2 linked regions of the Bombyx mori genome follow. The main gene of each other region encodes a partner of the protein of the gene in region 2 in a complex. Links are inferred from orthologs where the notes say so. Each region holds a gene or a part of one and is shown on either strand. Other genes may lie near its edges.

Region 1 (4,140 bases), on a different chromosome or scaffold from region 2:
CTCTCAGACCGTGAGTAGTTATTAGTGTTGCTATATCATAGGTTTTATTTCCTATTGAGTCTGCAGCACCGTGATTTTGATAGAGGCGGATGGCAAAATAATTGTACAGTCATTGCCATTATGAGGAATGTGCTGCACAAGTTCTGATGGTTGTAAAGTGCAAACCAAGCTAATCGTTATCACATTTCTTTTTTTAGCAAAAATATTCTGGTACATACATTATTACTGTTACCATCAGTCGACTAAGTTACTGCGAAATTCATTTCTCAAGAGAGAAAACAGGAAAATCAGCACCAGAATCATTGTTGTATAAAGCTCCGGTAAACTCGAACTGCATTACAATTAAATAGCTACTGCTGTTTGCACTCAGCGGGGTTCTCGGCAGGTCCCTTGCCGGGTTTCTTGGTTCGTCTCCGAGGCGCCGGCTCATCGTCTTCGCTCTCCTCCATCGAGCATTCCTCTTCCTCCTAAATACAACAGCGTTATGGTTAAAACATCGACCGGCACATTGCATTACCAGTGTAAGTGAATTCTGCAACCATCCGCATCGTCTCCGTCAAAACTAACATGCAAAACGAGGTGAAATAAAACACATTTGTAAAAAGCATACAATTTTAATGTCACTATTAACGACATCATGCCAAAAACATAAGAAGCCATTAAAACCAAGTACAACTACCTGAGTGGCTGCCATACATAAACTTTATTATGCCAACTTCAATAGAAAGTTACATAAATAAAAAAATATATCTATACTCCCTAGCTATTGTCAAGTTATCATAAAATATAAATTGAATAGATCACAGTTAGCAATGCTGAAGTGATGAATTTGTTTAAATGCATTTTGGCACTAAGAGATTCAACAAATATTCCGGTTCAAGGACAAGCCTGCCTCGGCAACAGTACTATTGGAATGACAACACATTAAAAGTAAGAAACAAATCATCTTAAGAGATTAATAATATCACATGAAATTTCAAAGTAAAAATAAACGAATAAGCAAAACTCGTGAACAAAAAAAAATACACACTATAATGACTGTATAATAAATAAAAACGAATTTGTTTAACTAGAAATGCATCAGTAGTTTATCATTACAAAAATCTAAGATTAAACATGCATTACACATTAAGAAGGCACCGATCACTTCTCGCAGTCTGCTCTTTCGGAATAGACCTTATATCAATTTCTAAAACATATTTATCTAATCAAAGGATAAATCATGCATAGAAACTTGTAGCGAGAAACATAAATACTAGGGATTTACAAGGAGCCCGACGCGCTATTCTTTAGAATTCGTTTACAATTGATATGAGCCAGATATGATCACGACAGCTAGCAGCACAGCGATGTCGTGTGCGTTTATTTAGAGGTTCCTATGTTATTTGTTGCAATAAATACAAGCGATCGAGTCGGACGAATGCCTCTGAGGCTTATAGAAGGCTAGGGGGGACGGTCTCGTATCAATCCTCCACGTCGGAAACTTCCTCGGTACCGGAGTCTTCGTCAGAGTACGAATCCTCCTGAAACCAAACATGACCGCTGTTGGTTGGGCTGCCTTCACCAGACGTAGATACCGTATGCGTTATATAAACCCACCCTCAGCCCGTAATGCGCCTGCCCTAGATGATTACACTACATAGCAATTCAAGACATCTATCAAGCAATTACTTGATTACGAGATTGAAATTTAGTTTACATGGTCACTATAAGTTTATGAAAATTTTCTATTCTGGTTGAGTTTCATCTTTGGATGTAGACTTAAATGGCAATGCAGTGTTTCAATCATTTACTTCATATAGCAACCATAAAAGACAATCTTTGCAAAGTCCAGTAGGTATACCCAGTCAGCCTATTTTTACCAATTACAGGTTTCACAATCGAATACCGTACCTCCGTCTGTTCAGGATAAGGGATAAATGAAAACGTTCTAAGCAAGCATAATAAAGCTACCATGCATGTACGACTGTAGAAACAAAAGATGGCTGTAGAATTCACTAATTATGCAATCTTACAACTACCACAAGATTAAAAGATAACACTAAAATACTGCACATTTTGTTTCTTCTAGACAACTCCTACTATAATTAACAGATTACATTTAAAAGCAAGCTATTTTTAATAGCTTAATGAAAAGAAAACTATAGTCAAAATCTAGTTTCTATTATTTTGAATTAGTGTTAAAATCATCAAAAAGAAGGTTATTTAAAATATATCAATATGTCCTATACCATAATATGCAGGAATAGATCAGCTCCAATTAATTTTTTTCGCAATAATATTGACAACACTAGAAAATATCGATATGTGCGAAAAATTTAAAATTCAGTTAATGACTTTCGATATCAACTGCTATATGTGAAATCTGAACATACCTCTTCTTCATAATCGTCATCGTCATCATCCTCGAGTCCCTCGCCGGTGTAGAGCAGCACGGCACGAGACACGACGCGCTCGCGGATGTAGTGACCGATCTCAAAGTCCGCAGTCAACAACGCCTACAACGTTAAGTTTAGTTTATAATTCTGCAATATTTATGTTCAACATTATCAATGAAAATTACTGTTTCAGTTGGTGATGCATGTTTCGTTAATCATTTTATTTCAGTTATTGGTGTTGAAAATCATCATGAAGAATGAGCAATAGTTTTTTTTTTTTGATAATTTTCCATAAAATTATTAAAAACTAAATGTACCTGTACATCAGAGGCGACTGTAGAGTTAGGATCTTCCGGCAGAGTTGGTGGGTTAAAGAAATTGAAGAAGGAGTCAGCTTGGACGGACTTAGTGACAGTGCGAACTGACCCACGGGACTTGTGCTTCTGTTTCTTCTTTATGGTCTTGACAGTTACGTTTTTACCAGCATTCCAGTTTATTTCACATCCCTAAACAAACAACAACAATAATCTATCTATATATCTATATATATATATATATATAAAAATGAATTGCTGTTCGTTAGTCTCGCTAAAACTCGAGAACGGCTGGTCCGATTTGGCTAATTTTGGTCTTGAATTATTTGTGGAAGTGCAGTGAAGGTTTAAAAGTTAACATAAATATGAAAATGCTCGGAATTAAACAAAAACAACAATTTTGTTTTTTCTTTAATGTGTTCCCGTCGGACAGATTCCTTTTGTTTGTTTTAAGTTTATTTTATACAAAAGTTTAGGTCTTTTATTTATCGATTGTGGCACTACGAAGTCTGCCGGGTCAGCTAGTAATAATAATATATTTTAGTGTTCTTCTTCTATAAAAAAAATCAATAATAGCAAAACAAACCTTGCAAGAATAAATTTCAGGACCTTCAAATTCTAATGGACTCTCTTCATCGGGCTTGCACTTCATTAAGTACTCTTTAGTAAGTACTGTATTTGTGAAGTATTCATTTGGAGCAAAGTAGAATTCCAGAGTGAAGCTTATGGGGTCTTCATGCATTTGCACTGAATTAGAAAAAGCTAATTAATTCTTAGAAAATGTAGATAATTAAATTGTCATGTCAATAATTGTGATAATCAGTTGGTGATGCATGTTAAAAAATCAATCATAATTTTCAGAATTTGGTGTGAAATGTCATCATGTAATTTTATTGATTTTTATTGAGAAGCTAGGTGAAAAAGCTGACAGTTCACCTGGTAAATTGAAATAAACGAGTATTGCTAATAATTTAGCAAATGTCCACAAACTCAACAAACATACCTTTAATATCTTGCAAGCATTTTAGAATTGGTTCATCATGTTCTTGCATCATTTCGCTGAGCATTGAGACATTCCTGAATATGTTGTACCAAAAGTCTGGGATACCCTTTACATTGGGATCCATTGGAGGCCTAAAATGTGCATATAATTATTAAATAAATATGTTTAGAAAAGTATAAAATTAATTAATCAACTTTTTGGCTTCAGTTGGTGATGCATGTTCAAATCAATCACAATATTTCAGTGTTTGGTGTTTAAAATATCATCATTTGCAAAAGTTTCAAAAAATAGAGACAATTCTCAACATTTTCCAGCAAAAGGATAACAACGTTTAAATACAGAGTTATTCAAAACTGTTCTAAACAGAAATTGGTCTTAATGTTACATTTGTAGACAACAAAATATTTTTGATTTTATCATATTATACAACTTTGTTTTAAAACAA
Region 2 (4,671 bases):
AGGCTATATAAGCTTTTTTAATATCATTGTGATTAAAATGATTTTCATGCCATCGTTTTGGTTTCAAATTATGTAATGATATAATATATCTCTAAATTAAAAACTATTTAAAAAAATATCATTATAATTTAAAAAAATGAAACTTTTTAATATAGAAAAATTTACTTACACAATAAAAAAATTTCAAACCTTATGATCATGCATCTTATGTTTTCTAGCAGCCTTCATTTCCTTAGTCATGTGCAACCAGTTGGCGTTATCCAAAGAACCCAGAGGCCCGTAAACCACTTGTCCAGGATAATATTCAGACGAAGAGTACGGCGTGGAGCGTCGACGTCGCATGGAGTAGTCCTCGAGAGGGCACGTGTCTAGGTCTGAATACTCGAGACGTGATCCATCGGAGGATACTAAACGTAGTTTACTGTGGACGGCCTGGAGAAACACTTTTAAAATATGATCTGTTTTTGAGGTCAATACATCTTTTGATTTTGTAATTTAGACGATTGGATGTGTTTCTATCAGGACATTATCAAATAGAGAAATTAATTTAAAATAACTAGATATGGTTGGGAAATAATTTCACTCATTGCACTTATAGAGTACTTTTGGGATACAATTATATTGAAACATCCTTAATCAATTTGTATTCTCTTAATAAATTTAAAATGTCTATCTCCATTTAAATGTTCTTTAGATAATCACACAGATATTTAGAGTTAAAAAATCAAAATCTAACCTTAGAAGTGCCAACCCATGAATCAAGACAAACTGCTAAATCAGGGGAAAATTCTTCAAGAGGCTGAAGTCTTTCACTTGCTACACTGGGGATCACGTGTTTCGTGCCCACGATCTGCAAGGCGGCCGTCATTACAATGTCGCGGCAATATCCCCTCTGGGTATCCTTGCCAGCGATGAGGCGACGAACCACATCACCTGGCATAAGGGACCTGTCTGCCAGACCCACCTGTTCACAAAATTCAACTAGCTTATATATAAATCTTATTCTTTTAGGAATAACAAATTTTTATAATATATTAGCTGAATGTCAAATTATTTTGAAAAATATTCCACCTCTTGGGGAAATATTGTGGTCTCTCTATGGTTGATTTACATTATTTATTATAAGTTTTATGGTATATTTATATTATTATTATCATTATATTACATATTATTTCAAACATTTCTAATACTTTACTTTTCACAGTCACACAAGACTAATAAGAGCAATTTTAGAATTTCATTTTTTAGATTATATTCACTAAATCAAAGTACAAAGAAGACTATATTATAATGTGTTAAAAAGTTAAAGTAGTTCAGTACAGTGCTCGAACAGTAGGGCGTAACTGGACATATCTAACAATGATTTTACATGCAAGCCACAGTTACAAAGACAACTGACAGATGAACTTGCATTTCCAATAGAACTATTAGCTCTGCGAGTTGGCTTAGTAAATTCAAGCCCTACAACAATTCTTAATAAGCTAAAAGTATTGCTATTTGTTTCATATTAATTTTGCTTGTTTGTACTTGAATACACTTATTTTTATTCTTGCTATTTGTTTAAAAGATGTTGAACTAAGGCCTTTTATGATAGCAATGAGGAGAGCACAATAATGCCAAAAAAATAATATTGGTTTGAATTTTTTTGGTTTTTATTATCTTTATACTGTATCCATGTTTTAATGTAAATGAATCATAATTTACTACAAAATTATACAGTGTTTTCTTATTTCACATGTTATTGTCTATTAGTCTACCATAAGAATCAAAGAAGACAAACACCAAATTAATACATGCCCTCATTATAATGCTCACAAATAATTATCACAATGAAATACATGTGAGGACTGTTGATATACTGTGTTCAGTAAGCAACTGTCTGGTCAAGAAAAATGCAAAGATGTCAATTTAGATATTCATTATCATTTAAAGCTAAATGAATTGAATCATTAGCAAATATACATCTGAACCTAAACCTATGATTTGATGTGGGACTAAAATCAGTATCATTATTATAGTGTATTAAACACTGCCATTATTATTATTATTATTAAGCATTAGAAGTGTGAGCCATCAATAAAATTAAATAAACTGTATTAAAACCCTCTAAATTCACATAGTAAATTTTGAAATTTTACTGAGAAACTAAACACAAAAGCACTAAATTTTATGTTATTGTTTCAATAAACTGGCACTATAATCTTCTTTCACAAAACAACATACTTCAGCCCCTTTAGCACCAGGTTACAGAATTAATTACTGGTATTTAATGAAGAACGTTTCTTCAGTTGGTTTTTTATCTATATTATTTTTCAAGTGTATTTTATATTAGAGATAAATATCATTAGAAACGCGGCAGATATTCTATTTGGAATTCGATGAAACAAAATCTATTGTAGCCACAAAAAAATGTTGTTTCTTTTATTAAATATTAAAATTACTATTATGTTATTGTATACTTATTTAATGTTCAGGATTTTGTTTTCTAGTTTAGAATAATAAGATAAAGAACATTCGTTTTATTTGATAATTTTCCCGTTAGTTGACTGGTTAAGGTTTTCTGCTATTTTTCGACATTCTAAATACCTTGTGAATCGTTTACGCTAAATTTTTTAGCGACGTAGCAAACGGTATTATTTTTTTACCCTCGCAATTATTTCAGATGTGTCATAAGTCATCTTAAAACTAAATCTATGACACGAGATAAAAAGGTCTTTGCACTCATCCTACCCAGATCGTACAATCACATTGATTTAAAATCGTTTTATGGAAATATGATTAATTAAAACCGGTGTCTCCTGTGATCGTGTCATTTGGTTTGTATTCTTGCTTACCGATTTCTCAGATATAACGCGTTCTGTGCCGGAAGGATGCCATACAACACGAATTTCTCCTTTTTGTATAGGTGTTTCAATGTCGCTCTCTTGGTCACTGGAGTTAGCTTCATAGTTCTCGAGCACTAGGCCGAAAACCACTTGGCCCCGGTTGTTGATTTTATAAACTTCATCTTCATAAAAATATTGAAAGTCGGTCGGTGATCCTGGATTTTGCCCCGCCATATTTGACGGGAATTATCTGAAGACACTAATAATTTTGTTTTTTACAAGAATAAATTCTTTCTGACAGCTGATTGCAATGTGTGGCGCATGCGTCAATAAATTATGCAGCGGAACCGCCATCTTTCGGAATTCTTAGTAAAAAATATACGTTCCGTTTTACCGAATAATTTGAAAATTGACTTTAACATCTGCACCTACTTTTAAACCTGTATTATAAATGTAAATTTTTTAATATGTTTTGTGGAGACTTCATTTAGTTAGAAAATAATGCAGAACAAAGATCTTACATACGTCTTGAATTAAGTACTCCTCTAATGAAGTCGCCAAAAAATATAGTTTTGTGAGTTTTGAGTATACCATGTGAGTAATAAAGAGGTTTTATTTCTTTATAGCTTAGATGGGTGGAAGAGCTCACAGCCCACCTGGTATTAAGTGGTTACCGGAGCCCGTAGACATTTACAAAATAAATGCCACCACCCATTTTAAGACATGAGTTCTAAGGTCACAGTTCAGTACAACGGCTACCCCCACCCTTCAAACCGAAACGCATTACTGCTTCTCTACAGAAATAGGCGGGATAGTGGTACCTACTCGTGCGGACTCACAAGACGTCCTATTACCTGTAAACCAAAGTCCATAGGTATCAAAAATGAAAAAAATTGTGTTCTATTTGAACATTTTACAACGTTATACGAGAGGTTTGCTTGTGGTCCGCATTACGACTACTTACAACCGTATGTATCAGACTCGTCTGCCATTGATATCACTAAAAAATCTATAAAATTGAAGAGACTACCTACCGGAGTAGGTTCTATCGCACAAGGCACTATCGTACACGTTTAAGGGTAAAGTAGAAAGAGAAGATATAGTTGTTAAAAAATTGCAAAGTAATTAAATGCAAGCTTATCTTTTAAATGTATTCAGCACGCTTCAGGTTTTTACGGGATTACTTCTAGTGTATTGCTTTATAATAGTTAGTGTCACAGTTGCAGCAGGCGTAGAATCAGATAAATTAATAATATTTCGTCTTACACGTATCGGTACACCTACGTAATTTGGTATTGCTTCTTAAGGTATACAGATGTCGCTACATTAATCATGGCAGCTTTTGTTTGCCCCTTTTTGTACTATTTTTAGAATATTAATATGAAATATCGATTTATTCACTATCGTTTACAGGGTAGTGGAATCGTTGCACCTACGCAATTATTCTTCAGTCTTATGATATCTTAAAGTTGGCATAAGCGTTCATGGTATGTCTCCTATGCGCTCCGTAGGTTTGTTTTATCCAACCGTTTCACTAACGTTTCAAAGCAAACTATTAAGTATCTACACGCTAGCTTTTGGAGCAGGCATAGGGGGCCTAGTACCCGATTTCATCGAACTCTTCGAAGAGTTTGAAACTTAACCCTTTTTTTTCTTTCCAACAGAGGGTTGAACCTCATACATAAAGTTTCGATGCCTAAGGGTCCGCAGACGCTGGGAGTTGACCGCTGGCCCAATGATATTTTGACAGACCTACTAAACGACTCCCTTTGCAATCTTTCATCCGACGTCCGATCTCCGTCCGGGGTCGGAGTCTGGGCAGAATACGGGTGCTCCCGCGGTCAAC

What was found. Proteins that work in one complex are often made in the same cells at the same time.
Region 1: the proteins of (E3-independent) E2 ubiquitin-conjugating enzyme (region 2) and nucleosome assembly protein are in contact, whole or in part, in a cryo-EM structure (PDB 7UN6), measured with the Homo sapiens proteins. The link is inferred for Bombyx mori from reciprocal best matches to the Homo sapiens genes UBE2O and NAP1L1. Residues at the interface, in NP_071349.3 of Homo sapiens: Ser225, Asn226, Val282, Lys283, Pro284, Val285, Lys289, Ser290, Lys291, Phe292, Arg293; in NP_001317160.1 of Homo sapiens: Arg333, Arg337, Thr343, Gly344, Glu345, Ala346, Ile347, Asp349.

Annotation. Positions count from the first base shown.
Region 1 is NC_085120.1:5,045,671-5,049,810, forward strand, and holds part of nucleosome assembly protein, read right to left. Parts: intron 3,974-4,140; exon of another isoform or gene 3,891-3,973; intron 3,827-3,890; coding exon 3,696-3,826; intron 3,586-3,695; exon of another isoform or gene 3,505-3,585; intron 3,440-3,504; coding exon 3,279-3,439; intron 2,885-3,278; coding exon 2,696-2,884; intron 2,499-2,695; coding exon 2,376-2,498; intron 1,524-2,375; coding exon of another isoform or gene 1,464-1,523; exon of another isoform or gene 468-1,463; coding exon 351-467; 3' UTR 1-350. UniProt on the Homo sapiens protein: Histone chaperone that plays a role in the nuclear import of H2A-H2B and nucleosome assembly.
Region 2 is NC_085123.1:4,181,958-4,186,628, reverse strand, and holds the start of (E3-independent) E2 ubiquitin-conjugating enzyme, read right to left. Parts: upstream 3,189-4,671; 5' UTR 3,060-3,188; coding exon 2,835-3,059; intron 965-2,834; coding exon 737-964; intron 433-736; coding exon 190-432; intron 1-189. UniProt on the Homo sapiens protein: E2/E3 hybrid ubiquitin-protein ligase that displays both E2 and E3 ligase activities and mediates monoubiquitination of target proteins. Negatively regulates TRAF6-mediated NF-kappa-B activation independently of its E2 activity.